7 linked regions of the Xenopus tropicalis genome follow. The protein of the gene in region 1 purifies or fractionates together with the protein of each later gene. This does not show direct contact. Links are inferred from orthologs where the notes say so. Each region holds a gene or a part of one and is shown in the gene's direction. Other genes may lie near its edges.

Region 1 (4,158 bases):
TGTACACAATGCAAATCAGCCACTCTGATCAAACAATTATTTCGGGGTGCCATGGCCTCTCTGGCTCTCCTGCATTTGACACCAATACTGCAACCTATTATGTTAGCCATAAGGGTAAAGACACACAGAGCTACTAGTAGCAGCTACTTGTCATGGCTACAGAAACAGACAATGCTGATCATTTACTAATAATTGTCTCTACATGTGTTTTAGCAGAGGCAATTCTGTGTATTGTCTATGGCAGGGTATTTTCTGGTGTTTAGTAGCAGTGACAAGTAGCTCTGTGTGTCTTCACCCTAAGGACTTTTTATGGTTGGGCTTTCACCTTGGCCTCCTTACTTGACACCAGGGGGTCCTAGAAGTAACCTTTAAGGTCCCCATAAATGGGCCAATTCTAGCTGCCGATCTCGGTCCCTTAGACCGATTTGGCAGCTAATCGGCCCATGTATGGGGACTACCGACGGGCCTGCCCGACCAATATCTGGCCTGAAATCGGGCAGATCTTGATCGGGCAGGTTAGAAAATCTAGTCAGATCGACTGCCCCATTGCCACCAATATAATTTGATCATTTGGCCCCAGGGCCAAACGATCGAATTAGCCTACACGCTCCCAGATATCACCACACATACAGTAGGTGGGGATATTGGGTGAAGAATCGCTCGCTTGGCGATCTAGCCAAGAGAGCAAATCTTAACGTGTATGGGCACCTTTAGGGTGGGACTATTTTTCTGCCTGAATGGATCCTGCACTTCGCTGGTTGCTTTCCTGTTGTAGCTGGGAGCTTGCTTTATATCTCTTATGCAGCCTTCTCTTAGCTGCAAAACCTAAAGCAACAAAAAAGACAAAAGGTTAGCTCTGATTCAAACAGGCAAGCAAGTCAGCATATAAGCCCACATACCTTAATTCTTACTTTTCTGGCTAGCAGAAACCCTTTATTTATGGCTAGTGGCCGGGCATGGGTTGGCTGATACTTGCCACCCTAGCCATGCCTACCTGCCCCCTAGCCATGCCTACCTGCCCCCTAACCATGCCTACCTGCCCCCCTATCCATGCCTACCCTCCCCTCATCCAGCACGCCTGACTCCTGTAAGTATAAATCTAGTCAGTTACCCAGGGCAGGGCTAGGGAACAACACGGAATAAGCGCTATGTAGAGCAGCTGTAGGGATTTGGTACCCACAATCTCCATCACCGTAAGACGCACACTAGAGGGCGGTGCTTAAAGTTTGCCGGTGATGCTATCAGGTGCCCCGCCTCCGCCCTGAGTGGGCGTGTCTGTGTGTCAGTTCCAAGCTGTAAGTTTCACAAGGGGTTTAAGTGGAGGAGACCACATGGAGAACGCAGCATCGCCCTGATCTCTCTGCGATCCGACTCATCTGCCTGCGAGTGGAAAGGAAAGAAAGCCCGGGCTGCTGCTGTGGAACTCAGCATTCGTACTCAATACAGACGCTTTACATTCTTCCAGGAGGAGCCACTACATACTAAAGGTAAGGGAGCTGCTTTGGAAATGGGCAACTTGTGGCCTCCGCTGCTTTTTAACTGAATCTGGCAGTAGCGGCTGTGGTGGGTGTTGTAGTTGCAGTAGAACAACATCAGGAGAGGCTTCATTTATCCATGAAAGCTCTGATGAGTCGAATCTGATGGCACCTTTACCTGCAACTCTGTTGATGATTAACTATTAACCCCCAGTACCATGCCATAATGATACTGAGATCATCACCCCTGTATGTAGCATGTCCATAGTGTAGCATATCTCCTCTCTGCAGCATGTCCATAATGATCCCCAAATTATCACCCCCCCCTTAGTAATGTGCCCATAATAATACACAAGTCCTCTCCCACATCAGTACCATGCCCATAATGATCCCCAAATCATCACCCCCATAGTAATGTGCCCATAATAATACACAAGTCTTCTCCCACATCAGTACCATGCCCATAATGATCCCCAAATCACCACCCCCCATAGCAGGGGTAGGGAACCTTGGCTGAACCCCTGCCCCATAGTAATGTGCCGATAATAATACACAAGTCCTCTCCCACATCAGTACCATGCCCATAATGATCCCCAAATCATCACCCCCCATAGTAATGTGCTGATAATAATACACAAGTCCTCTCCCACATCAGTACCATGCCCATAATGATCCCAGCTCATCACTTTCTTCAGTACCATGCTCATCACTTTCCTTAGTGCCATAATGATCCCAGCTCATCACTCCCCAGTACCAGTCCCATAATGATCCCAGCTCATCACTCACCCAAACCATTCCCATAATGATCCCAGCTCATCACTCCCCCAGTACCATTCCCATAATGATCCTCAACTCATCACTTTTCCTCAGTACCATGCTCATAAGTATCCCCAACTCTTCATTTTCCTGTATATTGTGCCCATAAGGATCCTCAGTCATGTTATGTTATGTTGGCAATGACAGTGGTTGTATGTAGTAGTACTACATATAGATATATGTTAGATTTCTAACTGACCCTGTAAGGGTTAATGCTCCCTGTGCAGAAGGGTATTTTTGTCTCCCCTCCTAACTAGAGATGCTATTTTGGCACAGATTTTTGTCACCTACCAGCAAAGTGTTTCAGACAGATTTGTGAAGGAATTAGGTCTTCTCTCCTGGGGGAGACCTCCGCTCTCCCTTTCCTGGCTAAGTAGCCACTTATTTTCTCCACTGCTTCTGGCAATCTAATTGCCCCTAGCGGCTGTCTGGAAGCCACAAACCCCCTTTGCTCCATTCCTAATAGTTGCCCCTAGTATTAATTCAATTCAGTCTCTGAATATCGTAGGGCAAAGTTCCTTTGAATGTGTGATGCCATTTTTTCCAGCTTATTTTGTTTAATCAAGAATATTTACAAGCAGCCAAATGCTTTCTAGCTGAGCTTTGGCTCCGATAGGTCCCACCTGCCGCCAGCATGTGTGCAGCCTCTCTAACCTGACTTCAATCCCTTTAGTGCCGTAACTGAGCCGCATTGCCTCTCCCAGCATGATGTACAGTCTCTCTGGCAAATATACAGTTGCTCTGTGACACAGAAAGCGGCTCTGCATGCTATTAGTTAACTCTGCATGAGACAAGGCTGCTCTGCGCTCTGCATTGCTCTGTGTGCCTTTGTATCACCCTGGGAGTTTCAAAATTGCTCTGTTTCGTAAAATTTCCCTCGGTGTTTGCTAATTGTCTGGTATATCTCAATCATATTATATATATAATTATTATATAATTATTAAATAATTATGTTGTTTGGTGTGTAAAACATAGCCCGGCATGCTATGTAATGTATCTTCAGGCAATTTATTAGTCTTATCTGTTATCTATGTTAGCTCTCTTATTTACATGCTCACTCTATAATCATTTATTTATAATGTGTGTATGTTCTTCTGTTTCATTGTGATTGCTCTGCATTATATAATATCTGGTTTCCATATGTTGCACTGATCTGGGTGCCACTGTTCTCTACTGCAGAACAAAGTACTTGTGTGTGTAATACACCAGGTATGCCCAATATGTGGCCCTCATAGTGTCCCAGCACCCCCTGCCAACCTGTAGTCCATCAGCATTAGCAGGGCTCCATACATAATATAGTGGTACATAATGGTTTGATACATCAAATTATTCTGCATGCAGTGACATTCTAGAATATATATCTCTGCTTTTGTGCTGAAAGATTTGCCTGCAAGCCATGATATTGATCTGCGTGCATGGTCTATTATTGCACGCCTATTGCCTCTTCCAGGTTATAACAAAAACGGCTCAGAGGGCCACAGTTTATATCATAAAAGTTTTCCCAACAAGCTCCCTTAGTAATAAGGTTTCTGTAAGTACTAGCAGATCACTGGGTATGTCAGAGGATTGGGCTGCAGGGTTTAAGGTTATTTTGAACCACTACTAAGTATGCTTGGATGGGTTGTTATGTATCAAAAAATTGCTCGGCGTTGTATAAGATTGTGATTGTGCTACATTTCTCATCTAAGAAGCTGCCACTCATTCTCCATAATTCCTGGTGTTGGGATTGGAGGGTTATAGAAAACTTTAACAAAATTTATATTGACTTTAAAGCAAACGGTAAAAAGGAGAAGGATAATAGAAGGAGAATAATTTCCCCAAGTGCACAGAGTGTATCTCTTCAACGGCTGAAAAAAAGTTATGTGAG
Region 2 (4,211 bases), on another chromosome or scaffold:
AATGGCATACACATAGCTTAGGTTTTCTGAAATTCGCCCAAAGTTTTCTTGTGAGGAACTTCACCGACTTCATAAAACCAAAGTGACCGTATGCCATCCCACCAGTGATTTACATTCCTGTCAGTAGAATGGCATTTCAGGGAGATAAGTCACCTCTGGCAGTAAAGATTTATGGCGGCGACTAATCGTGCCGTTTGCCACCTCCCTTACTTATATAAACTGTAGGGCAGATGACACAAGGAGATTAGTGCCCCCCAATTAGCCTCCTCTAGCAGTGGCAACTAATCTCCTCTACCTTGCTTTTCTACCAGCAAGGGTGTAAATCGCCGCTAGGAAAATATAGGTGCTGCTTTTTTTTTTCCAGGGGGGACTGTGTGTTAGCACCCTAGATTTCCTGAAGCAAACACACATTTTTTACCTGAGAGTAATCTATTACACAGTAAGTTTCCAATAAAAAAAAACTTCTTTAACATTGAAGCTTGCATTTGCACATGAGTCAGCTGACAGGTTCCACCACAGGAACACATAGGGGTATATTTATCATGCTGTGTAAAAAATGGAGTGAAACATCACCGGTGATGATGCCCAGGGCAATCAGAAATTAGATTTCAACAGTTAGAAAACCAAAGCAAAGCATCTGATTGGCTGCTATGAGCAACATCACTTTTAATGCTTTACTCCACTTTTTACACAGCATGATAAATATACCCCTATAGACTTTTACAATTGTATGTTTTCTAATGGACAAAAGGCAGAGCAAAACGCTGACAATTTCTTATCAGAAAGTTAGTTCAGGTGATTTCTGTGCTGTCTGGCACCATTTATAGTAGCTCTGAGGCACAGCCATACTGGCATTTGGTGGATTTTGCTACTTTAAGATGCCATTAGCAGTCACTATTTAATGGGTCTATGGAGGCTGATAAGGGCTCTGTGTACTTCAAATACCAAAGCCTATACTGAATCACAGGGAGTTGTGGTCCAAACCAGCTAGAAGTCCAGTAAGGGGCACCTACTCGTATGTTCTGCTTTGCTGTACGTTGCAATTATGGTGAATGCTGTCAGCCCCTGTGCAGCCACTCCCCATACATACCCCTTTCTAATTCGACACTGACTTACCGCATCCCCCTGGTCACCGCCGGCTTTATACACACAGGATATAACCTCATTGTGCAGAAGCAAAAAGAGGGCTTCATCAGCCATATCCTGCTTGTTCATGCCTACAGCAATCTCTATCTCTGATTGGGCGAAGATTCGGGGTGGAAAAAAAAACAGCAAATTACTATTGGTTCCAGGGCAAATCTCTGACAGCAAAGCCCATTGCACGACTCTTCCCTGTAATTAGTTAACATTATCGCCCCGCCCCCTTCCCCCCACGGGTCCGCAATGTTACGTTCCACTTCCGCTTTAGGACTTTCAGTGCGCTGGCTGCTGGCTCTTGATTAGTTTGTTCAACGACCCGGAAGTGATTGAGACGCGCGATTAGGGCGGAGAAAATGGCGGTGGCTGTGCGAACTCTGCAAGAGCAGTTGGAAAAAGCAAAAGAGAGCCTAAAAAATGTCGACGAAAACATACGGAAATTGACTGGCCGGGACCCGAATGAGACTAGGTGGGTTCCAGGATTAATGCATGTGTTGTGGTATTAAGGTTCCGCTCTGGTTCCTGGTTGGGTTGCGCCGCATGGCAGGCATGGTGTATGAAGCATTATACAGGCCACTGCCCTCATACAAACTTCCAGAAGGGCCTGCGTGCAGGCGATATCGGCCTTAGGCTGCAGCTAATTCGTGAGAATACGCAAGGCTGATGGGCTTCTTTATCATTTGTGCAAACTCGCAGGCCGTGCTGCAGCATTGTGTTTAATGAATGGTTCTGCCTGTGTAGCCCTGTGTGGCTTACATAGTGCTTATTAGGCAGTGAATGGGCTTTAACGCTGAGGCAATCATCTGCGGACGCGGGGAAACTATGTTTTTGTTGCGGAACTATTTTATTTTACTACAGTATTTTACACATATTACAACAAAGGGCTCCAATCCCTATTTCCCTTTCTAAATTGATTGTGCCGAGACCAGGCTTCCCTATACAGATATAAAAGCAAATGTGTCTATATATAGCTATGGGACTTGTGGTACTACATTTAAATTGCAGCCCAGCCTATCAGGCATCTGCACTTCCTCCCAACTGTTTGTTTATACAGTAGTAGTGTTTGTAAAGCAGACTGCAGTGGAGCCATGGTGGCAGCCGCTCAAGTTGAACAAGGCAAAAGGGCTCCTACAGCAGATCAATAAACTTTGTAGAGTACAATGAGTGCAGTTCTTACACAAGTAGAAAAATAAGGGGTCAAATGCCTTTCATGGCATTAAACAATACTATAGAATTAAAGGGGCAGTTTACATTTAAATTAACATTTGGTATAGTAGGCATTTATATTCTGAGACAATTTGCAATAGGTTTTCATTTGTTGTGGCTTTTCAATTAGAGCTTTTTGTTCAGATATGTGGTTACTGGGGTCTTATTTACCTTAGCAACCAGGCTACTTCTGGGGCCAGTGGACACCCCCCCCCCCCCCCCACTGGAAATAAGCAGAAGAGTAAGGCAAGTAATTAAAATCTGTTTAAAAGTTGCTAAGAATAGGACATTCTATAACATACTAAAAGTTAGGGTAAAGATAGTGCTTAAAACCCTTCTCACATACAATAGGGTAATTTGTTGCCAAGTAATAGTTTTCAGATCAAACGTTGAATGTATAAAAATATTTTTACTTTTTGATGTTACTGGCCCTTTAAAGGAACAGTAACACCAAAAAATAAAAGAGCTTTAAAGTAATAAATATATAATGCACTGTTGCCCTGCACTGGTAAATCTGGTGTGTTTGCTACAGTAACACTACTATAATTTATTTAATAAGCTGCTGTGTAGCCACGGGGGCAGCCATTCAAGCTGGAAAAAAGGAGAAAAGGCACAGGTTACATAGCAGATAACAGATAAGTTCTGTAGAATACAATAGTGTTTTATCTGTTATCTGCTATGTGCCTGTGCCTTTTCTCCTTTGAATGGCTGCCCCCATGGCTACATAGCAGCTTATTTATATAAACTATAGCAGACTTTCTGAAGTAAACACACAATGTTTACCAGTGCAGGGCAGCAGCACATTATATTTTAGTTACTTTTATACACTTTCATTTTTTGGTGTTACTGTTCCTTTAAACAAAAGCACATATGTGAACTGGCTGTTTTGTGTAGGATCCTAACTAGGTTTCTGTTATACATATGACACAAATATGATGGGTCTTCATAGTGGTTACCTTGCATTCTCTAGCACCTCAGATCTTGGGTCTTTTATATTTGTGTCTCAAACAGATTTTCAGTGTGTTGTTTTTGTTGAGCATTAAGAGCAAGTGTCAGACTTTGCTAGAATCACTTTTTTTTTTTTTTTTGACAATTGCTGAACATCAGCTACTTTGGAAGAAGCATGTGTAGACAGCAATAATATAAAATATTATTTGTGCCAGTTTGTTAATGTGGATCCACCTCTGGAAGGGAAAGGAAATCTTTCTGCAATGCAAATGCTGATATTCAGCTCTTAGTGATGCAAATAATAATTTAGAAATGTTAATTGTGTATTATACACTGGGTATACTTACATGTTTTTAGCATCCTGCTTTTTTCTTACTATCTCTGGTAAGTTAGTTTCACTTTCTTTGGCTGCTGATCGTATACCTTTCAACTCTACGTTTATAGTAATAATCCTTTTATTGATTGGTGCATACATTTTCTGTGAAAACTGAATCAGTGTTCCTAATTTGTTTCAGGCCTGCACAAGCAAGACGACTGTCCCTCACAGGTCCTAATGTAGTTGGAGGTAGAGGCCGCGGTGGGATTTTACTAAGGTATGAAACTCATTGACATATTTAAAATCGTTGTTTATTACTTAAGTGAACTGTTTGTTGTGCCTGTTCCAGTTTGCCATTTTGAATATTCACAGTAAAGATTTGTGCACTTCTGTTGTACTTAGATGCTTAGCCTATCAGGTCATGGTAACATTACTGGGGGCCAAGTTGTTAGGCGCACCCCCTTTGAAAAAGATGAGCACCGGAACGTGGTAACAGGTTACAGACTAGAATCACTGGTTATACCTAAGCGCCCCACCCCCCACTTGTCAGTATACACCCCTTTTTAACATTAACTGAATGAATATGACTTGAGCTTGAACATAC
Region 3 (3,934 bases), on another chromosome or scaffold:
AAATACATTTCAGAAGTAAATAGACTAAAGTTGCAGAGGCATTTGCAAATCAATACTGTGTGTGAGGACAACAAGTACAGGATAGCAGTGCTGAATAATAAGCACCTTTAGTAAGAAGTTTAGGAAATGAGCACTTAAAGGCACATAACACAATATGGTTGCAAGCAATGCAAAAGCAGTTGGGACAGCAAACCAGCAGACTCCCATAGTATTATACCATAATAAAGGACACATTTACTACATCAAAACATATGTTGTACACTTGCTTACCACCAAAATTGACTTTACTTATTGATAAATACAAACTGTGCCTGTACAGTGCAAATACTGTTGCTATACACTTGTATGATGTCCCAGAAAATCTCGCCTGCTGCCATTAGAAAAGATTTTAAAGAACGCAAGGAACCGAAACATGTGAATGAATGCTCATATGGCCTAGTCTAATTACTTTTTATTTTAACTGTATTTAGTGTTTACAGTGCATTCAAAAAGCATTAAAAACTTTTAAAATGCACAAATATCTTATACCTGCATGAAAGCCTTTAAAATGCCTTTTGAGTCTGTATTCCCAATCATCTTTTTTTTCTGGTGGTACACATTGTACCCTAGGGAAGTCAGGCCTAGCTTGGCCCCAGCATGTGCTGAAAGAGAAGGAAAAGTCTGATTTATTTCTTGCAAATAACCAATTCCCTTAAGTATTTCTCATTTCTACATCTGCCAGTATCAAGTGCCCACTCAAAATCTATATCACCCTACTTCTAAAATTGTCACTAAAGTCACTCAACTAATATTTTGTGTAATCTCACAAGTTATTATATTATTTATAATAATACCACTAATAATAACACCCAAGAATGGATATCTTACAGGTAAGACCCTGTGAGCTTATAGCTGGATATCTGCTTGTTCTATTATTTGTAATTGTTCAATTTCAGTTTCCATAGTCTGAGCGTTCTACTACATAGATTATACAGCGTTATATGTGTAATCTTTAAGAAGAATAACAATACCAATCATCTCAATTTCCCAGACTGTTGTGGGCAAACGCAGACGCAAATGTTGAAAAACAGACAGTGCTGCGATTGTGGAGCCGGCAGAGAGAAGCCGCCGCAGGGGTTAACAGCTGGGAGCCCTGAGCTCCGCCCCCTGGCTCTGCATTCCATGCTGGTGCGCCCAGGCTCCGGCTACACATGCGCTCCTTGCTCCAGTTCCTAGACTCTGGCTGGAGGAGGGAGGGGGGACAAGTGAGCAGAGCGCAGCCCTCCGGCCAATCAGTCAGGAGGCGGCAGCAGCAGGGGCAGAACTAGGGGATTCTCAGCACTTTGCAAAGTTCCCCGGACACAGAGCCACCCCCGGGAGCCGGAGTAATCTGTGCGGCCAGTCATCAAGCTCCGTGCCGATCGCATTCATTCCCCTGCAGTGCCTGCCTCACCATGGTCTGGATCTCCTTCTACCCCCTGCTCGCTTGCACTTTAGCGCTATTCAGTCTCCCCGTCGGGGCAGATCTCAAGTCCAAAAGTTGTTCGGAGGTTCGGAGACTGTACATTTCCAAGGGCTTCAACCAGAACGATGCGCCGACCCACGAAATCAATGGTGAGTGACAAAGCGCCGGGGATTTACGGATTTAGCACTTACTCTGTCCGGTCGATCCAACCTGTGGCCTCTGACCATATGGACTACAGCTCCCAGCGTCCCCGACACGCCAAGTCTCCTGGGGCGTACGGGATTTGTAGTTAAACAGCAGCTGGAGGGCCACATGTTGGACCGAGTCGATTTGTTGCCGGAGGGGATAAAAGAAAACATGCGGCTCTGCACGCATAGACATTTGTTGTAATATTGATTAAAATGCTAGTATGATTTACGTTTCGTCTCATTTCTCTGGCTTTATATTGGCTGAGGCTGTCCATTACTTTCACGTTAACTCCTCCGTAGAGTCCAATGCAACACTGCCCCCAGTGGTCACTAATGATTATTTTATGATTTTACCGGCCAGTAACTTCTGAACAAAGCATCATCCGAGCGTGGGAGCAGTCTGGTGACTGTGTATACCGGTGTTTAGCCTTTCTGACTCTTCCCCCCCCACAAGTTATAGCCCTAAGTATTAGCGCATTTACTTTGTGCCACTCTGTCGGGGTAGGAAACAATATGGCAAGGCGGAAAAGGTGAAAGTTAAGCGCCCCCTCCCTGCTCCAGGGGCCAGGTAAGGAGCTGCCTATGCGCTGAGCCCTGGGGGCAGCTCCGCAGTGAATCACACTCAGGAAATCAGACAACTGCCTCTCTGATTTATTGAGGGACTTACTGGCTGACATTCCTGCATGTCCCCACGTGTTCATAAGATTGTAAGCTCTACGGGCAAGGACGTCTGTTAGTGTCTGCTTATGTCCCCTCCCCCACTTTTTATTTCTTGTGCCATAATATTGAATTAACATTGTCTGGTAGGAAAGCACCCTACAGCTTTTGCTGAGTTGCAAATTCCAACTAATCCAGGAAACTGAGGGTTCTTCTGCTATAATGGGAATTGTAATTCATCAGCAGTCAAAGGGCCAGAGGTTGGACTCATATCAGCCTGAGGGGTCCATGGTAGCAAGAAAAGAAAAATGTATCCATAATTTAATGACTGTTGTCTATATGACTTTTTTTCTGTGTAGATGCTTTTTCGTGCCCTGGGGAAGTTGTTTTTTTTTTTTTTTTTTTTGTAAAATTGATTTAGCCTTTTATTTTCAATGGTAACAACTATATTATATGGTCCAGGGATACTCAAGTTGACACTCCCAGCAGTTTTATCCTCTTGAGGATCCTGGGAGTTTTAGTACCTCAGCAGAGGCGATTGTTGAGCAATAAAGCATTTAGTGTTGCTCATGGGATGGGAGACTGAAACCCTGTGAGTGACGTTCTTGCCCCCGACCATTGGCAGGAAGGAGAGACCTGACACCTATTTGTGGGTTTATTAAACAAAGCTGTTCTAGTCCAAGGGCTGTAGATGTAATATTGTCCCTTAAATGAATATGTCAAAGTAAAGGCACAACTCCCTTTTAGCCACCAAGAGTTCAAAAGTCAGCTAATCTGGTGATCTCTGGTTGGGTTCAGAGTCTGACAAATAACCCAGCTGCAGGGTTTCATGCTACATGGTCACTCTCCCATATGGCAAAGGCTTATTTTCTGTTTGTTTTACTGCGTTATTGTTAGACTCGCTCTTAACCCTTTTATCCCCAGCATTCTGTGATCATGGAACTGCTTAGCCTGTGAAGCCCAAATACCTGCCCTATGAATAATAATTTCTTTTTATTTACAAGAGTATTTTTTAGATCATTTTCTAAAGCAGCACTGTATGCATGTCCTGTAAATGCTTAGCGTAAGCAGCACGATATGTTTACATGTTGGGCATGGTGCACTGGGAAAATAGATTTTGTGTCATGATGACACACTGACTTTGTACAAACACATTTTTTTCCTCTTTATTCCAATGTTTTTTCCATTTGCATAAAGCAGCAATCCAGGACCAATGTAACTATATTTTGAGTAACTATATAGCAGATCAACCTGTAATTGTTGGTGCCTTATTGGTCAATGGCACAAGTCTTTATGGAAACTATATTTTCTCTCCTTTCAGCAAGCTAATCTTTCTGGTGGTATTGGTTAGCTTACCCCCTGATATCTCTGTTCCCTTGCCAGAACTCTTCTTATCTATAAAGTAAATCCCAGCAGGAAGTGAGTTGTGTAAGTTTGTTCTTTCTCCTTGGTCTGCAGAAATACATACAGTTTTTATGTTGCACTATTTGATGTGATTGTATTAGTATCCCTAGTCCTCTCTAGTATAAAGCCGACTTACCAATAGAGTTTTATACAAATTTTTGTATAATTATGGCTGTGTGTGTGTTGTCCATCAAACTAGTTTGAAAATTTTCGAGTTGACTTAATAGAGTATTGAAATCAG
Region 4 (4,195 bases), on another chromosome or scaffold:
AGACTTTCCTTGGGCCAGGTTGGAGCTGCAGAGTGCCATTGAGCCCTATGGGAGACTTTCCTTGGGCCGGGTTGGAGCTGCAGAGTGCCATTGAGCCCTATGGGAGACTTTCCTTGGGCCAGGTTGGAGCTGCAGAGTGCCATTGAGCCCTATGGGAGACTTTCCTTGGGCCAGGTTGGAGCTGCAGAGTGCCATTGAGCCCTATGGGAGACTTTCCTTGGGCCGGGTTAGAGCTGCAGAGTGCCATTGAGCCCTATGGGAGACTTTCCTTGGGCCAGGTTGGAGCTGCAGAGTGCCATTGAGCCCTATGGGAGACTTTCCTTGGGCCAGGTTGGAGCTGCAGAGTGCCATTGAGCCCTATGGGAGACTTTCCTTGGGCCGGGTTGGAGCTGCAGAGTGCCATTGAGCCCTATGGGAGACTTTCCTTGGGCCAGGTTGGAGCTGCAGAGTGCCATTGAGCCCTATGGGAGACTTTCCTTGGGCCAGGTTGGAGCTGCAGAGTGCCATTGAGCCCTATGGGAGGCTTTCCTTGGGCCGGGTTGGAGCGGCAGAGTGCCATTGAGTCCTATGGGAGGCTTCAAAATCATGCAAAGTCTGAAAGTTTTGCCCGGAGTTTACGAGCGCTCAATACAAAAAAGTCGCGACAAGATACGAGCAAATCGTAATGGCTACGAAAAAGTCGCGACAATTCGCGGAAGTCGTAATGGTTACGAAAAAGTCGCGACAATTTACGAAAAGTCGTAACGGCGACGAAAAAATTGCAAAAAATACAAAAAAGTCGCAAAATGTTCGTTATCCAATTTGGATTCGTGGGTTAGTAAATCAGCCCCTTGGAACTCCTTCTTTCATGATTAAATTGTGAGAATAGTCTCCAATAACTGAAGGTATTGTTCGTAACCATTATTACTGGTTGGCAACTAAATTACTGGCTGGCAACCAACACGAAAGAAAAGTTATTTCCATATTTTCTGTTCTAACAAAAGTAGCAGTTTCGAGAAGAAAAAAAAACCAGACTGGTAGCAAACCTACTACTGCCACTTTCTAGCAGTTTAGGATTGTCAGTGTATTGCTGAGTTACACAGTGTCTGCACGTCACTCCAACAAGGCTGCGCAGGCGCATTACCGCGCACATGTGTACTTGTGACGCCATCATAGCGCGTCGGGGTTTTCTGTAAGACATGAGGGAAGCAGCGTGTAATTAACAGTTGTGTGGAATGTGTAAGTATGATCTGGGACTGTGGGCTGTAAAAGAAAATTGGAAAAAAAGCGGGACCATTGGGCGGTTTATCATATGAATTGCTGACGAATAGCCAGAGAAGCATTTTGTAGCATAGACCTGCTGCATCGCAGTTAAGATGCAAAAAGCGACCCACATATTCCTGGGGAGCCCGTCTTTTAGGGATGTTAGAAATGCCCGAAAACTGGTCAGGCAGTAATATGTATATATTCCTTTTATGTTTGTCTTAGGAATGCATTTACCACTTTAGTGCGCTATTTAAGCATGTGATAAAATTGCAATGAAAGTATTTTATGGCCAGAGAAAGATTACACGCATTTAAGTTTGAATTATGTAATTACTATAAAGGTGTATGCTTTTGTATCAGTGGATAAAGGCATTGGGTTTGTATTCCATAAATAATACAGGTTCAAATACATTACAGAATCTTTACAGGTATAGGATCTATTATCCAGAATGCTGGACTTTTCCAGATACAGACTCTTTCTGCAGTTTGGATCACCATGCCTTAAGTCTTCTGAAAATCATTTAATCAAGTACAAGCTACTGTTTAATTATTACAGAGAAAAGGGAAATCATTGATCGCCAATAAATTAAAACACTTTAGGTATATTCCACTACCCCCAAATAAACTGTCTGGCTTATTTGCACATTATGTACGCAGCGCTGTACAGTAGAATACATTAATACAAACAGGGGGTTAATAAGATAATAGATAAATACAAAGTATAACAATAAATACAGCAACTTACATATAAGTTAAGAGTCGAGGACACAAGAGGAAGGAGGTCCCTGCCCCGTAGAGCTTACAATCTATATGGGAGGGGTAACTAACAGACACAAATAGACAAATATAAGTGCTGTAGGTCACAGTGGGTGATATTACAGCTTGTGCAAAAATGTACAATACTTTCAATGAAACTTACATATAAACTCCACTGACCCCCAGGTAGGTGGGAAAGCGTTAAACTTAGGACAAACTCAATTGACCCCCAATAAACTGAATGGCTTATTAGCAAATTAATCAATAAAACTCTTTTCAAATTGCTTAATTATAAAGTAACATCAGCTGTTTATATTGCACAAACAAGGAGCACGGCTGAAAATTTGGTACTGGGCACTTGTGCCCATGCATGAATAACTTGTATGGGGCCCCAACTTTTTTTCATATCCACTAGGTGGGATGAATGGATCAGCACGTCAAAAATGTCTGTTGGAAGAACTTTATTATTGTCAAACTTTATTTTTACTGCATTATTAACTATTACTACTGTGGGCTGTAACTGTTTTTGTATATCTTTTTTTTTTTTAGTTTTTTACATGTTGTCATGGAAACACAACGTGGAACTCAGTCAACTGACAGTGTTATAGAGGGCAATCATTTTCCTATTTGTGAACCAGAAATTATGGACAACTGCATATATTCTGTAGTTAATGATGGCTTTGATATTGCCTCACAATCAGCTGAAAAAATACACCAAAATGACAGTTTTTCAAATACTGATGAACAGGAGAAAGTTGTTGCTCCCGAGTTGGAAATATCTGAAGCTGTGGGTACAACTGCCTTGGATCAAAATTCAACATGTCATCAAGACCAAGAAGAACGTATGGAAGTGACTGTTCAGTTGGAAAGCCTTAATTTTAAAAACAATTGCACAGATACCAATAATTCTATGGAGAAGGAAATAGCAGCAGAAATGAGTTGCAAACAAGTCTCTGATGGGGAGAATGATCAAACAGCAGAAGATAATGATGAAACAAAAGAAAACTCTTCTGAGGACTCTAGTTCTGATAGGTAAAAGCTTTGGATTTTATTATGTGCCCTCTAATCATAAGTTCACACTTGAAGACTGTACTGCTGTAACTACCTAACAAGTTGGTGTTCTTATATATAAGAAACCAAACCTTAATTTGCATTTATTAAAAATTAATTTTTATTTTTTATTAACACAAATTAAGGTTTGGTTTCTTATATATAAGAGCGCCAACTCGTTAGGGAGTTAGATATAAATATACACAGGATTAGGTAGAGGAAGGCGGCTCTCTAACTGTATGTTAGCACTGATTTGAACACTTAAATTTTGGCTATTAAGAGCACATGGTGTTATATTGTAATACGTTATCTAGAGCTGCTTCAGTAGATAAGGTATTGTATATTGCCGCGGGTTGGGTAATTTAATATTAATATACACTGTACTGCTGTGTTACTATGAGAAGCATCTTTTTTCCTCACGTACCACCTACATAGTATATGGTTTAAACCTAAATTAAATGTCTTGAATTCCCAGTAAATTATATAAAGATATTTTTTAGAGAATATCTGGGAAACTTTACCCATTGCCAGCTACTGTGAGTGTGCTTTAAAACTGGCAAGAATGACAGATTACTGAAGTTAAATGACATGTAAACCCCAATTGTTTAATTTTCTACTAGATTTTATCTTGCCCTGGAATAGTTAAACTTTAACCTGTAAATGCACTGTTCTTTCAATGCCAAGATGCGATTGCGTGAAACATTTATTCTTCTGTGGGGCTTATTCTGGTTGGCTGACCATAGCATGTTAAGTCCCTGTGCTCTTTAGTAACCGTCTTAAGCCTAGACTGCATCTGCATCTGCATATGAAACTCAAATAAACTTGTCTATATAATCTGGTAAACCTGACTGCACATGTATTAGTTAGAGCTAGTAAAGGCACATCTTTGCTTGGAGTTGAAGAGTTGTTGCTAATTCATGATAATCCTGTCATTTAAAGGAACAGTGACACCAAAAAATGAAAGAGGTTTAAAGTAATAAAAATATAATGCACTGTTGTGTTTGCTACAGTAACACTACTATAATTTATATAATAAGCTGCTGTGTAGCCACGGGGGCAGCCATTCCAGCTGGAAAAAAGGAGAAAAGGCACAGGTTACATAGCAGATAACAGATAAAACACTATTGTATTCTACAGAACTTATC
Region 5 (4,249 bases), on another chromosome or scaffold:
TCCAACTTGGCCAAAAGAAAGTCACGATACCCAAGCTTGAATGAATTCCGAAATGTTTGTAATCATTGCGAAAAATATGACTTTTGCATAAAAATTTATGCAAAACCCGAATAAGTCGCGTAATTGTACCGATATTTTCGTGGTCATTACAAAAAGTTCTAAACTTTACAACAATACAAATTTTTTTGCAATCGTGGTCATCGTGCTTCGATAAATGTGCCCCTATGGGGCTGATTCATCAAAGCATGAGTTCAAATCTCGAAATGGGTATAATTCAGATTAGATACAATAATTTCTCATGATCGGAAATGTCACGAAAATGCTTACGAAAAAATCGTATTAGTCACGATAATATTGTATCGGCGATCCGAAAGTGACTAAATTTTCATATCCGAATGATTGTAAATGGCTTTGATCCTTCTGTGCATGATTTTGGAAGCCTCTCATAGGACTCAATGGCACTCTGCAGCTCCAACCTGGCCCAAGGAAAGCCTCCCATAGGGCTCAATGGCACTCTGCAGCTCCAACCTGGCCTAAGGAAAGCCTCCCATAGGGCTCAATGGCACTCTGCAGCTCCAACCTGGCCCAAGGAAAGTCTCCCATAGGGCTCAATGGCACTCTGCAGCTCCAACCTGGCCCAAGGAAAGTCTCCCATAGGGCTCAATGGCACTCTGCAGCTCCAACCCGGCCCAAGGAAAGTCTCCCATAGGGCTCAATGGCACTCTGCAGCTCCAACCCGGCCCAAGGAAAGTCTCCCATAGGGCTCAATGGCACTCTGCAGCTCCAACCCGGCCCAAGGAAAGTCTCCCATAGGGCTTAATGGCACTCTGCAGCTCCAACCTGGCCCAAGGAAAGTCATGATACCGAAGCTTGAATGAATCCGAAACTTTCGTACTCGTTACGACAAATACGATTTTGTGGCACAAATTGTTGCAAAGTACGAAAAAGTCGCAAAAAATACGCGCAGTACAAAAACTATTCGGAAGCAATCGTACTTTGATAAATGTACCCGTGTGTGTTTCACATCATGTTACAGAAGCCCTAAAAAAAAAGTGTGTATGATGTGGAAAGTGTCCGTTCCTTGGTGACAGGCTGCCGTCAGTAATCAGACTACTATTTAGCAGGGCCCTCACCCCAGGGAATTTCCTGCACCAAGTAAAATAGAAACTCAACAAAGAATGGACATGAAAATACTGCAGTTACCACTTATTTTTTAACAATGGGTATTGGAAAGAGCTTTCTCTTATTAAACAAAAAATATTTAGCGGTTTAAAGTCCCTTTAATTTTAAATACACTGGTACCTAGGAAGAAGGGCCTATTTGTGTAAATGATTAAATGTAAAGGACTGCAATATAGCTACACCGCTTATTACAGCCAACGCTGCTATTTTAGCTTCTCCTTGCGACTCTTAGTCCCGTTTGTCCTGTCTCGGCTCCCGTACATATCACTGTGCGCTGGCTAGAATAGAGAATGCTGGGAAACCGGAAGTGTATTATGTCGTGCAGTGTGAGCGGTATTGTAAATAGAACACTGTGCGTTTAATCCAATAAGCGGGATTGTTCTTTATGTAATTTGATTTGGGTGGCGGTGACCAACAAGCGGTTGTTTATTCTAAGTCTTTACATTTTCCGATCTCCCCGAGAAGCTTTGGAGGGGGCAGCTTGGTATCATGAAGAGTAGCGTGGCCCAAGTCAAAGTAAGTTTTCTGCTTACATTTACCTTATGGTTACAGAGTGGCTTTATCCTGGACTTTCAGCTTGAGATCCTATAGCGAATGGAAAATTACAACTTGCAGTAACCTCTAACGCTGAGGATCAAGGGAGCTATAGTTCAGCAACTTATGTGGGGCACTCAGCCCAATGCCTTGAGGGTCATAACATTTGAGTTCGGGATATTTAGTCCAAACTATGCCGGAACTAAATTCCCAGAGGATCATTATCTTCCTTATGACAGGGAACTGGTTGACGTCTCTACAGTTAATAAAGGTGGAAAAATTGTATAAAAAAAAAGACAGAGGGGGGGGGGGTCAAAGCTCCATGTTTTTTTTCTGCCCACAGTGCCCCATGCCATTAATGTATTATTTACTTATATAGCACAGGCATTCCTCTGCGCTTGACATATAATGCAGTATTCACATTAGTCACTGCCCCAGAGAAGCTTACAATCTAAGGTCCCTATCAATTCATGCCTAATAATTTTATCGAGACCCCGTTAACCTGCTGTATGTTCTTGGAGTGTGGGAGGGAACCAAACTACCCATGCATAAACGGGGAAACATTTTATTTATTACCCAAGTAAGTCCCTTTACAGAGCACTTACTCCCCAGGGTTTCTTCTCTCTGCATAAATCTAGCGCTTGCAGAGCGGGTCCTGATGCAGGCAGTGCCTCCTGACACACCATACATTATGCCTCTGATTGACATTAAAGGAGAATGCAAGTCAAAATTTAAAAAGCATACTGCCCAGTAGTCCTATTGTTTAGTAAAAACGCCACACTTTTGGCTCACCTAATCAAATATTTACTTGGTTACACTTACTCATATTTTCTAGAACAGGCAGCCATCCCTATTTCCCCTTCCTTTCCCTCCTTGCATCATACTGCACATGTGTTTCATTCCCTCCCCCCCCCCGGCAGATCCACTTCTGATTGGCTGGTGGGCATGTGTAGCTCAGAACAGGAGACAGGATCAAGTTACACACATGCTCAGAGAATAGGAAGGCTGCCGCTGGCACCTACAGGAAGGGGAGAGAGATTTTAGTGATGTCACTATAGTCTTCACACTGCTGTAGGCTGCCGAATCCCAAAATACTGGCATCCCTAGTAAAGGCTAAATGACTCTGAAACCACAGAAAATCAACAATGTGTATCACTTTCATTGTATACTTCATCTTGGGAGTTAATTTAAGGGCCTTTAAGTCAGAGCAGGATGTTCTATGTGACTTGCCAGCTTTTGTTGAGTTACACCTGCCAGCAGCAGCAGCAGATTCTGGTTTCAAAAACTGCTGGGCCTTGTGTTAGAGATTATTTATTATGAGTTTGTTTACACAGGGAAGTTTGTCATACAACAGCAGCCTGCAGCTTTTACAAGAGGCACCAGGCAAGCACAGTATTCAAATGTAATACTAAGCAACGTTCCAATATACATTCATTAAAATGTGTCAGTGATGTTACTGTTTTTATGTAAATGTATTTGCTATTAAAATCAGTAACTGTTTGGCTGGTGCATCCTATTCACTCCTGGCTCTGACTCCCAAAACAATGTTGCAAGCCACCTGATTTACAGAACTGAAGGAGACCTGACAAATTGTTATAAGAGTCAGAAAACAGAAAGAGGTAAAAAACTTGCTTCTTGCTTCCTTTCCAAATAACGTTTTAATGATAAAACCCATGAAAATGATACATTTATGCTTCAATGTTGCCTGTTATTGCATTTTCTTAGTGCAAAAAATGATACTTTTTGGCTGGAGATAACTCTGGTCAGGTTATCTGCCATTTTCTGGAATAAAAATGGCAAATACATCGGTCACAAACAGATATATGTATTTAGAATCTTGACGTAATATAAAATATACAGGTATTGAAGAGCAGGGCCACTATTGGAGAGTGTAGGGATTCTGTAGATGAAGACCCGAGATAGAAAGAAGCAATCTATAGCTCACAAAAAGAGTAGAAGTTTATAACTAGTTGGCAGGCTTTGGGACAGACTAGTGGCTTGGCTGTGCATGTGAAGGGATTCTCTTCTACTCCCTGAGCAATAGACAGAAGGGCAGACACAAGTTATATGCACAGAGATACCCCTTGAATTTGGTGGTTGCAGCAGAACAACATCTGATGTACAGGTATGGGACCCTTTTATCCAGAATGCTCAGGATCTGGGGTTTTCTTGATAAAGGATATTTCTGTAATTTGGATCTCCATACCCTTAAAGGGGAAGTAAGCCTTTTATCTTAAAAGCCCCTAAAATGACTTTGTCTGTTGCAGACTCTGTATCACAAACAGCTCAACCTCAGCTCTCTCAGATACTTCCTAATCTTAGGTTGAGCTTCTTGTGATACAGAATCTGCATCGGACTGAGTGCAGAAAGAAAGGGATGTTATACTGGGGCTGTATAGAGTCTTATTTAGAGAGAGAGGGGGAAAAAAAAGGTTTACTTATTTTTTGTATGCTAATAATCATTTAAATGTTAAATAAACGCAATAGGATTGTTTTGCCTCCAATAAGGGGTAATTATATCTTAGGTGGAATCAA
Region 6 (3,500 bases), on another chromosome or scaffold:
AATTCTTGAAGAGGGTTGGTGGCAAGAGGGACGTATTCTTCTTGGTGGGATCTATAGGAGGATTTTCAGGGCCAAAAATAAAATGTGAGAAACGTTAAGAAATGCAAAAAAACAAATGGGACTTGTCCGTGCTCTAGTTATGTTAAGTATTAAGTAAAAAAACAAAAAAGTTACTTTCAGTTGCATGAAAATCTAGTCACATCTTACTTAATGCAGCTTAAATCACCAGTGTGTCAACTATGTTGTGTCAACAACTATGTACTTCTTCAAACCTAGAGCATGGAAGCCAGAAAAACTGTTTGCTTTAGATAATGGTGGCTACACCTAGCACTTTTTTAAAACCGTATCTTTTGTAAATATGTTATCTATTATTGAGAGACCCTGAAATAATGCAGTTCCATCTCCCATACAAAAATCCTTATTTTTAAATGCTAAAATTGTTAATTTTGTGTAAATAATTTAGTAAGATACAGGGCAAGCTCAGTAATGCACTAAGGCATTATGCCTGACCCTTAATATTTCTGCATCAATATTGTAGTAAACTGGTGTAAATGCGAAGGCCCAGTTGCAAAAATAATGATTAAGGCAATTACAGCTATATTGCAAGTATTCTCTAAAGGTGAACTTCCCTTTTAATCTTTCTTGAATATTTAATGCATAAATTAGGTCCCAAATCTGACTTCTATCACATGTAGTTCTTTTAAACGTTGTTTGCTTCATTGTTTGACATGTTATCTTCCACACGATGTAGACTCTAGCAGTGATGAAGAGACTACACCTAAACCTTCCACAAAAATTACTCCTGCAAAGAGTGCTGCTACACCAACTTCCAAAACACCCACAACTAGCAAAGCAACACCAACATCAAAGACCTTGCCTGCAAAACAAGGAACCCCCAAAACTTCCAAAAAGGATTCAAGCTCCTCAGACAGCAGTGGTAAGTGGAAAAACAGGTATATAATAGAAGCTTGCATACTTTATAGAATGAAAACAGGGGAGTTAAAAGGAAACCTTTCAAATTGTAGTCATGCTGGGGTTTATTTAATAAAACCTTAAGGCCAAGCTTTGTGTGGTAGGTGGCATATAGGAGGTATTTTGTCAGCATTGTACCAAATGTACAGTAACAGGCATGCTAAACTTTAACTATGTAATTAACTTAAGACTCAAGCAGTGATGAAGATGAGAAGAAAACCCCTGCCAAACCTGCTGCTAAAACCACTCCTGCCAAGCCTGCTGCTAAAACCACTCCTGCCAAGCCTGCTGCTAAAACCACCCCAGGCAAGAAAGCTCCAACTAAGAAAGAATCCAGTTCTTCAGATAGCTCAGGTATCTGCACTCTCAGTTAAAATTGAGAATGTTTAAATTATATAGGTTCTGAAATGGTTATTTTTACAGTTAAGGAGCCCAGTGTTCCTGACCTCTTATTAGTATTTTTATATAACAGGGATATTTTATTCAGAATAAAGCATTCTGTTATGACATGTTTAGTAAAGCAGCCAGTGTTTCATAGACCTTCCAGCTGTTGAGGAGTTAAATTTGAGTAGTTAATCAAGATAATTCATCTGCATAAACTACTCTGTATAACTGCCTTATTCTTTCCATATAGTTCAGTATTGCCTGCTTGGAACTTAGCATTTTTGAGAATGACCATGAAATATGTATCCATAACTATTTTAAGGCAATTTTTTAAGGATGGTAACCCATCAGTTGTGTTTGCGATTTACAGTAGTCTTTAAAAAGACACACGTCTGGAATGATTGGTATTTGCAATCTTACTATGTCCTAATAGATTTCTTTAACTTTGCTGCAGTGACCATTTTAGCCTGATCTTACCCTTATGGGATCTTATTTTGTGTAGATTCCAGCAGTGAAGATGAAAAGAAATCCTCTGCAAAGCCAGGAGTTAAGACTACACATGGGAAAGCTGCTTCCAAGACAGATGCTTCTGCTGCTGCAAAGTCTGTTCCTGCAAAGAAGGCTTCCAGCTCTTCAGACTCTGGTATGGCTTGGTTTTGTCTGAGTGGGTTGTTTGCAGTGGGAATGTATAAGTCCAAGTGTGCTCTATAGGCAGATGTATAAGTCCAAGTGTGCTCTATAGGCAGTGGGAATATATAAGTCCAAGTGTGCTCTATAGGCAGATTATAGGTAAGGTTCTTAAAGGAAAATTAATTCTAAGTAATACAGGTATCTGTTATTCAGAGCCAAAATAGTGGTATGTTGTTTAAATAAACGATTCTTATTTAATAATTTGCTTTTCATTTAAGTAAAACAATCTTGCACTCGTATACATGTACTATGCTAGGAATTATTTACCTTGTTTTGTGCAGCAGCAGCATCTGTTTATCAGTTTAACATGTTGTTCTATAATGTCTTTTAGACTCTGATAGCTCAGAAGAGGAGACCACGAAAACTACTAAGCCACTTAATAAGCCGTCCCCAGCAGTAAAGTCTCTGCCTTCCAAGAAAGCAGAAAGCAGCTCTGACAGCAGTTCCAGTGATTCAGATTCTAAGAAGAAAACAAAACCCGCAAAGCCACCAGCCAAAGCTACAACACCAGTTACCCCCAAGGTCCAAGTTCAAAACAAAAAACCTTCTAAGGCTAACAGCACTGATTCAAGCAGCGAAGAGGAGGGGAAAAGCAAGCAAACTACTGGGAAATCCCCAGCTGCTAAGGCTACTGTTCCTCCAAAGAAGAGCCCAGTGGCTGTTAATAAGGCAAAGGCCAGCAGCAGCTCCTCATCAGACAGTTCCAGCGATGACGAAAAACAAAAACCTAAACAACCACCAGCAGCAAAGGATGTGAAGCAAGGAGCAAAGGCCACAAAGCCAGCTCCAAAGAAAGCTGCAGATAGCAGTTCTGAAGACAGTAGCTCAGAAGATGATGACTTAAAGGCTACAAAAACAAATACTGCTATTTCTAAATCCCCAGTTACTCCCAAAGCAAAACCTGCTCCTAAAAAAGAAAGCAGCAGTGAGAGTTCTGATTCTGAAGATGAAAAGCAAAAAGGAAAGAATATCTCTACTCCCAAAACAGCAAATTCCACTCCTAAAGCAGCTGCTGAGAGTTCTGAGGAAAGTTCTTCCAGTGAGGATGAAGAAAAAGCTAACGGTATGGTTTATATTTTGCAGCATTAAATTCTTTAGAAATTGTGTTCATTTGCACATGCAGTTGTTCTTTGCCAAATGGAGAAGTTCCATCTGAAATGCTGTCAGGGGAACACTGGAGACATGTCCAAAGTAACACCAGTTATCACTTATAAAAGGTTCACCGATATGACAGGTTATCAAATATACTGGCTCTCGACAGGAGTATGGTATGTGTCAGTTCAGCACATCAGCTGATCCCTTACTAAACTGATAGGGTTCACTGCCACCCACCCATATCTGGTGCTGCTAGGTAGCTCCTAACCCAGAACATGAGATAGGGCTGCACTGGGTGACCCTAGCCTAACGTAAAAGGAAACCTTGGGGATATTTGCCAAATACATTCCATTTGTCAT
Region 7 (4,035 bases), on another chromosome or scaffold:
TATCATCTATCTATCTATCATCTATCTATCTATCTATCTATCATCTATCATCTATCTATCATCTATCTATCTATCATCTATCTATCTATCTATCTATCTATCTATCTATCATCTATCATCTATCATCTATCTATCATCTATCTATCTATCATCTATCTATCTATCTATCTATCATCTATCTATCATCTATCTATCTATCTATCATCTATCATCTATCTATCATCTATCTATCTATCTATCATCTATCTATCTATCTATCTATCTATCTATCTATCTATCATATATCTATCTATCTATCTATCATCTATCTATCTATCTATCTATCTATCATCTATCTATCATCTATCTATCTATCTATCTATCTATCTATCTATCTGTCTATCTATCATCTATCTATCTATCTATCTATCTATCTATCTATCTATCATCTATCTATCTATCTATCTATCTATCTATCTATCTATCATCTATCTATCTATCTATCATCTATCTATCTATCTATCTATCTATCTATCTATCATCTATCTATCTATCTATGTATCATCTATCAATCTATCTAATCACATATTTCATCCTTTGTACAAATGCACACACCCCAGCAGTCCCCACCCCCGTTTCAGTCTGTCCCAAGCAGCCAATCAGCGTGTGAGTAGAGCGCAGCCTGTGTCTGTGCCTGCTATTGGCTGCGGGCCCATGCTGGGAGTCAGTCCGCACAGGAGTAGCGGGGGAGGCGGCACAGAGCTGCGCTCGGCGAGCATCCCGGTTGCCCATAGCGGTATAAGCCTGACAGCAGGAGAAGCAGGCGGGCACTGTGGGGTCACACGGGGGAGCCCCGGGAATGCTGTCTGCCTAACGTTTCATGCAATAAAGCTGTCAGTGCGACTGGTCCCTGCGATAGTAGCATCTGTGCGAGTGGCTGAGAGCAGCAGGATGGGGATGCGTGTTGCGGCGTGATACAGAGCGTATTGACAGGCGGATCCATTACAAAGGGATCGTTTAGCCCCAATGTTAGAAGGTCAGCAGTTGCACCGAGTCGCTCTCCCCGCCGGCAGGTAGCGGTGCCCCCAGGCATCTCGGTATAAGGACAACACCCAGCAGCTTCCAGCCGACATGAGCAGCTTGTGTGGAGCAGCAATCAGCCTGCACCCCCTGCCGTGTCACTGACAGGCAGCCCCCTCAGCCCCCTCAGCCCGCACTGCTCCCAAGGATCCGACACCGAACCCAGCTCTGCCCCAACCGAACCCAACCCGCTGCCCCAGCTTGCCCCAAGCCTGACAGTGCTGGCCCCAGGCTGAGCCCGGCTGAGTGGCTCCCAGTGACCCTCTGACAGCAGTGCAGGTGGGATCCAATTCAGTTCCAGTACCAGCTTTGCTGCATTGTCCTGCTTTGTGCTTTGTTCTCTTTTGGTCTAAGCCCATTATCTACAGAAGGATCCATACCTTGGGCATGCCCTACCCCAGTTTTGCTGCATCATCTCCATCTAGGGGCTTTTGTGTGCCCCCCCTGACATATGAATGCCCCCCTCAGCGGAGGTGCTAGCCGGTGCCTCTGTTCTTTGCTCTGAGGTGCCACAAGGGACAAAGGATAAGCTGTAAGTTATTGGCTTGACTCCTGGACTGTTTATGTGGCTTCCTCTACCCTTGTGTCTTCTTCAAAACTCTCCTTTCTGTATTTGCTGGGCTCATACGCCAACCCATCCACAAAGGTAATGGAGCGGCTCTGCTGGGGTTGGTGGTGGCATCTTGGCATTTTGTGCCTTATGCACTGGGCAGCTGGAGACACTGGAAGTAAAACCAAAAGCTGCAGTGAGGTGAAGCAGGTGTACCTGGCTAAGGGCTTCAGCCTGAATGGAGCGCCACAATCGGAAATCTCAGGTGAGTTGGTCTGTTAGAGTATGGGCATGACCCAGGGACTTCCCAGAAGGGCATTTCAGCTGAGAGTCTAAACAGATATCTCTGGTCACTTCTTGTAGAGTCTCAGATTATCTTATAAGGCAGGGCAGTTGCTTTATATATCCAGGCTAGATCTAGGGGAAAAGGCAGCCCCTGGCCATGAAGGAAGCCTGCATACCTAACATGAACTACTCTCCTGCAGTGTGGGGTGTTATTCCTGGTGTGTATACTGTAAATACCCCTCAGACAGTTGTTACACAGTTAAATCTGTCCATTCTACTTGTATCTCCATTCTCCCCACAAGGGGCCCCTCGGGAGCCCTGGCTAAATGCTCTTTCCTCCCGGCTCCTGTGATTCAGCAGTGCTGGCTTTCCAGTGAAGCCCCCATAGACACGCAGGTGGGGTAGCGCTGTGTGTGCAAGCGCTGTTGCATATGGGGCTGGAATCTAGCAATGATAATAGTTAGTTTGAATGGGCAAATACCAGCAAGTAGGATGTGTCATGGTAAAGGGGTGCCTTGAGTCAAAAGAAATGAATTGCTGGGCATTAGTTATGTATTGTTGATGTTTCAGATGTCCCTTAGGGACACAGAATCCACAATTGCTTGATCATGCTGAAAATGCTACTAAATTGCTATGGGATTGAACATGCTTTTTGGGGTGCTAGTGGCCTGGATTGTCAGCTCTGCAGGCCACAAATAAATGACTTATTGGCAGAACCAACAATCCTTAATAGCTAAATCAACACTTTATATTTCCCGCTGTTGTTAAGAGATTATTCCTAAAAGGATTTGGGGCTAGTGCTGTTATACAGTGTATGTTTGTAAGGAAATAATAATAAAAAAAACACATACAAGAGTATTGTAGAAATGATACCTATATTGGCTAACAATAAAAATACATTGCAAGTTATCAGAGCTCCGAAAGCTTGCAATGTATTATTGTTAGCCAATATAGGTATCATTTCTACAATACTCTTGTATTTGTGTTTTTTCTTCTTATTTTTGACACTGGCTAACACGGCACTACAGTTTTTATTTAAGGAAATAAAGCATCACCGTATTCAGGGAAGCCAAATACCTCTTGTGCCAAATTCCATAGACACATATAAATGGACTCAGTATTAGGAAAAATGTTTGACTCAGTGCTTTTATTCGTTCTCTCCTCACATACAATATATTAAATCTATATCTCTATGTGTGTGTATTGTAATTGATACCATCTCTGAGTGCCGCTACCTGCACTGTAACTTTATCTTGTCGCTCAGATGTTGCTTGTTGCGCTTCCATGCTCAGGTGTGAATATGTTCTAGGGCACTGCCCAATAGATGTAGCACCCTGCAGGAGTGGATTAGAATGTTATATCCTTTGTACTCTGGGTTCTTGCTACTTACTGTACCCTTTGTACTCTTTGTACTGTGTACATTGTGCGGCACCAGTGTGTTTCCTATAGAAGAGATAATAGACATTTCCTTTGGAAAAGTATTTAGACCCCTCATCAATTATTTCATTACTGAGTAAGAAATACTGTGCAATACTGGCACTCAATGTTAGTTTTCAAATATTAGTGTTCATTTACAAAGGGAATAAAACTGCAGCAAAATACCATGTCTTAGCCCACAGTATTCGCTGTTCCCCCTTGTGCCTAATGCCTGCCATCGGCACAGGGTTCCACAATTTCATATTTTATAGAGCCACCTACTGCAACTATGCCAGCATTAAGGCTTTAGAATGTACTAGCTTTGCACACTATTCAGGAGGGATTTTGGCCCATTCTCCCAGGCATATTTGCCCCAGGCTGTTCAGGTTAGCTGGATAGTAAAATAGCAGATGTGGTTGAAAAACAAAATGTGCACAGGTTTAAAATGCGAGCACAAAAGAAGTGTTATGTGCCCATAGCCGAAAAGGAATTAGTAGGATCAATTTTGATGTGCAAATCCCTATTTTTTTAAATTAAAATGCAGTGTTTTACCCAGAATTCCAGGGTACTGTAATTGCACCCACCTGTAGTGCTGACTGCAAATGGCATACAATGTGGCAATAGGGGAGTGAATCAGCGGTGGCTGTTGAATAGTGCATAAGCTGCGGTGCACAGTATCAGAGATGGCATCATATCCTGCGTGCCCGTGCCCATGGTATCAATAT

What was found.
Region 2: the proteins of camkv (region 1) and pnn purify together in Homo sapiens (affinity purification with mass spectrometry; 3 studies listed by BioGRID and IntAct, counting the BioPlex papers as one, with this or other methods). This does not show direct contact. The link is inferred for Xenopus tropicalis from reciprocal best matches to the Homo sapiens genes CAMKV and PNN.
Region 3: the proteins of camkv (region 1) and gpc4 purify together in Homo sapiens (affinity purification with mass spectrometry; 3 studies listed by BioGRID and IntAct, counting the BioPlex papers as one, with this or other methods). This does not show direct contact. The link is inferred for Xenopus tropicalis from reciprocal best matches to the Homo sapiens genes CAMKV and GPC4.
Region 4: the proteins of camkv (region 1) and naf1 purify together in Homo sapiens (affinity purification with mass spectrometry; 3 studies listed by BioGRID and IntAct, with this or other methods). This does not show direct contact. The link is inferred for Xenopus tropicalis from reciprocal best matches to the Homo sapiens genes CAMKV and NAF1.
Region 5: the proteins of camkv (region 1) and cwc22 purify together in Homo sapiens (affinity purification with mass spectrometry; 3 studies listed by BioGRID and IntAct, counting the BioPlex papers as one, with this or other methods). This does not show direct contact. The link is inferred for Xenopus tropicalis from reciprocal best matches to the Homo sapiens genes CAMKV and CWC22.
Region 6: the proteins of camkv (region 1) and nolc1 purify together in Homo sapiens (affinity purification with mass spectrometry; 3 studies listed by BioGRID and IntAct, counting the BioPlex papers as one, with this or other methods). This does not show direct contact. The link is inferred for Xenopus tropicalis from reciprocal best matches to the Homo sapiens genes CAMKV and NOLC1.
Region 7: the proteins of camkv (region 1) and gpc1 purify together in Homo sapiens (affinity purification with mass spectrometry; 3 studies listed by BioGRID and IntAct, counting the BioPlex papers as one, with this or other methods). This does not show direct contact. The link is inferred for Xenopus tropicalis from reciprocal best matches to the Homo sapiens genes CAMKV and GPC1.

Annotation. Positions count from the first base shown.
Region 1 is NC_030680.2:126,516,771-126,520,928, forward strand, and holds the start of camkv (caM kinase-like vesicle-associated protein), read left to right. Parts: upstream 1-1,358; 5' UTR 1,359-1,487; intron 1,488-4,158. UniProt on the Homo sapiens protein: Does not appear to have detectable kinase activity.
Region 2 is NC_030684.2:104,735,343-104,739,553, reverse strand, and holds the start of pnn (pinin), read left to right. Parts: upstream 1-1,411; 5' UTR 1,412-1,493; coding exon 1,494-1,606; intron 1,607-3,806; coding exon 3,807-3,884; intron 3,885-4,211. Other genes in the region: trappc6b (trafficking protein particle complex subunit 6B), read right to left, coding at 1,117-1,215. UniProt on the Homo sapiens protein: Transcriptional activator binding to the E-box 1 core sequence of the E-cadherin promoter gene; the core-binding sequence is 5'CAGGTG-3'. Capable of reversing CTBP1-mediated transcription repression.
Region 3 is NC_030684.2:68,008,712-68,012,645, reverse strand, and holds the start of gpc4 (glypican-4), read left to right. Parts: upstream 1-1,134; 5' UTR 1,135-1,433; coding exon 1,434-1,593; intron 1,594-3,934. UniProt on the Homo sapiens protein: Cell surface proteoglycan that bears heparan sulfate. May be involved in the development of kidney tubules and of the central nervous system.
Region 4 is NC_030677.2:51,909,520-51,913,714, forward strand, and holds the start of naf1 (H/ACA ribonucleoprotein complex non-core subunit NAF1), read left to right. Parts: upstream 1-1,395; 5' UTR 1,396-1,401; coding exon 1,402-1,424; intron 1,425-2,549; coding exon 2,550-3,032; intron 3,033-4,195. UniProt on the Homo sapiens protein: RNA-binding protein required for the maturation of box H/ACA snoRNPs complex and ribosome biogenesis.
Region 5 is NC_030685.2:63,083,775-63,088,023, forward strand, and holds the start of cwc22 (pre-mRNA-splicing factor CWC22 homolog), read left to right. Parts: upstream 1-1,449; 5' UTR 1,450-1,670; coding exon 1,671-1,697; intron 1,698-4,249. UniProt on the Homo sapiens protein: Required for pre-mRNA splicing as component of the spliceosome. As a component of the minor spliceosome, involved in the splicing of U12-type introns in pre-mRNAs. Promotes exon-junction complex (EJC) assembly.
Region 6 is NC_030683.2:44,081,966-44,085,465, reverse strand, and holds part of nolc1 (nucleolar and coiled-body phosphoprotein 1), read left to right. Parts: intron 1-751; coding exon of another isoform or gene 752-937; intron 938-1,161; coding exon of another isoform or gene 1,162-1,326; intron 1,327-1,858; coding exon 1,859-1,999; intron 2,000-2,377; coding exon 2,378-3,109; intron 3,110-3,500. UniProt on the Homo sapiens protein: Nucleolar protein that acts as a regulator of RNA polymerase I by connecting RNA polymerase I with enzymes responsible for ribosomal processing and modification.
Region 7 is NC_030681.2:127,205,484-127,209,518, reverse strand, and holds the start of gpc1 (glypican-1 precursor), read left to right. Parts: upstream 1-1,235; 5' UTR 1,236-1,708; coding exon 1,709-1,874; intron 1,875-4,035. UniProt on the Homo sapiens protein: Cell surface proteoglycan that bears heparan sulfate. Binds, via the heparan sulfate side chains, alpha-4 (V) collagen and participates in Schwann cell myelination.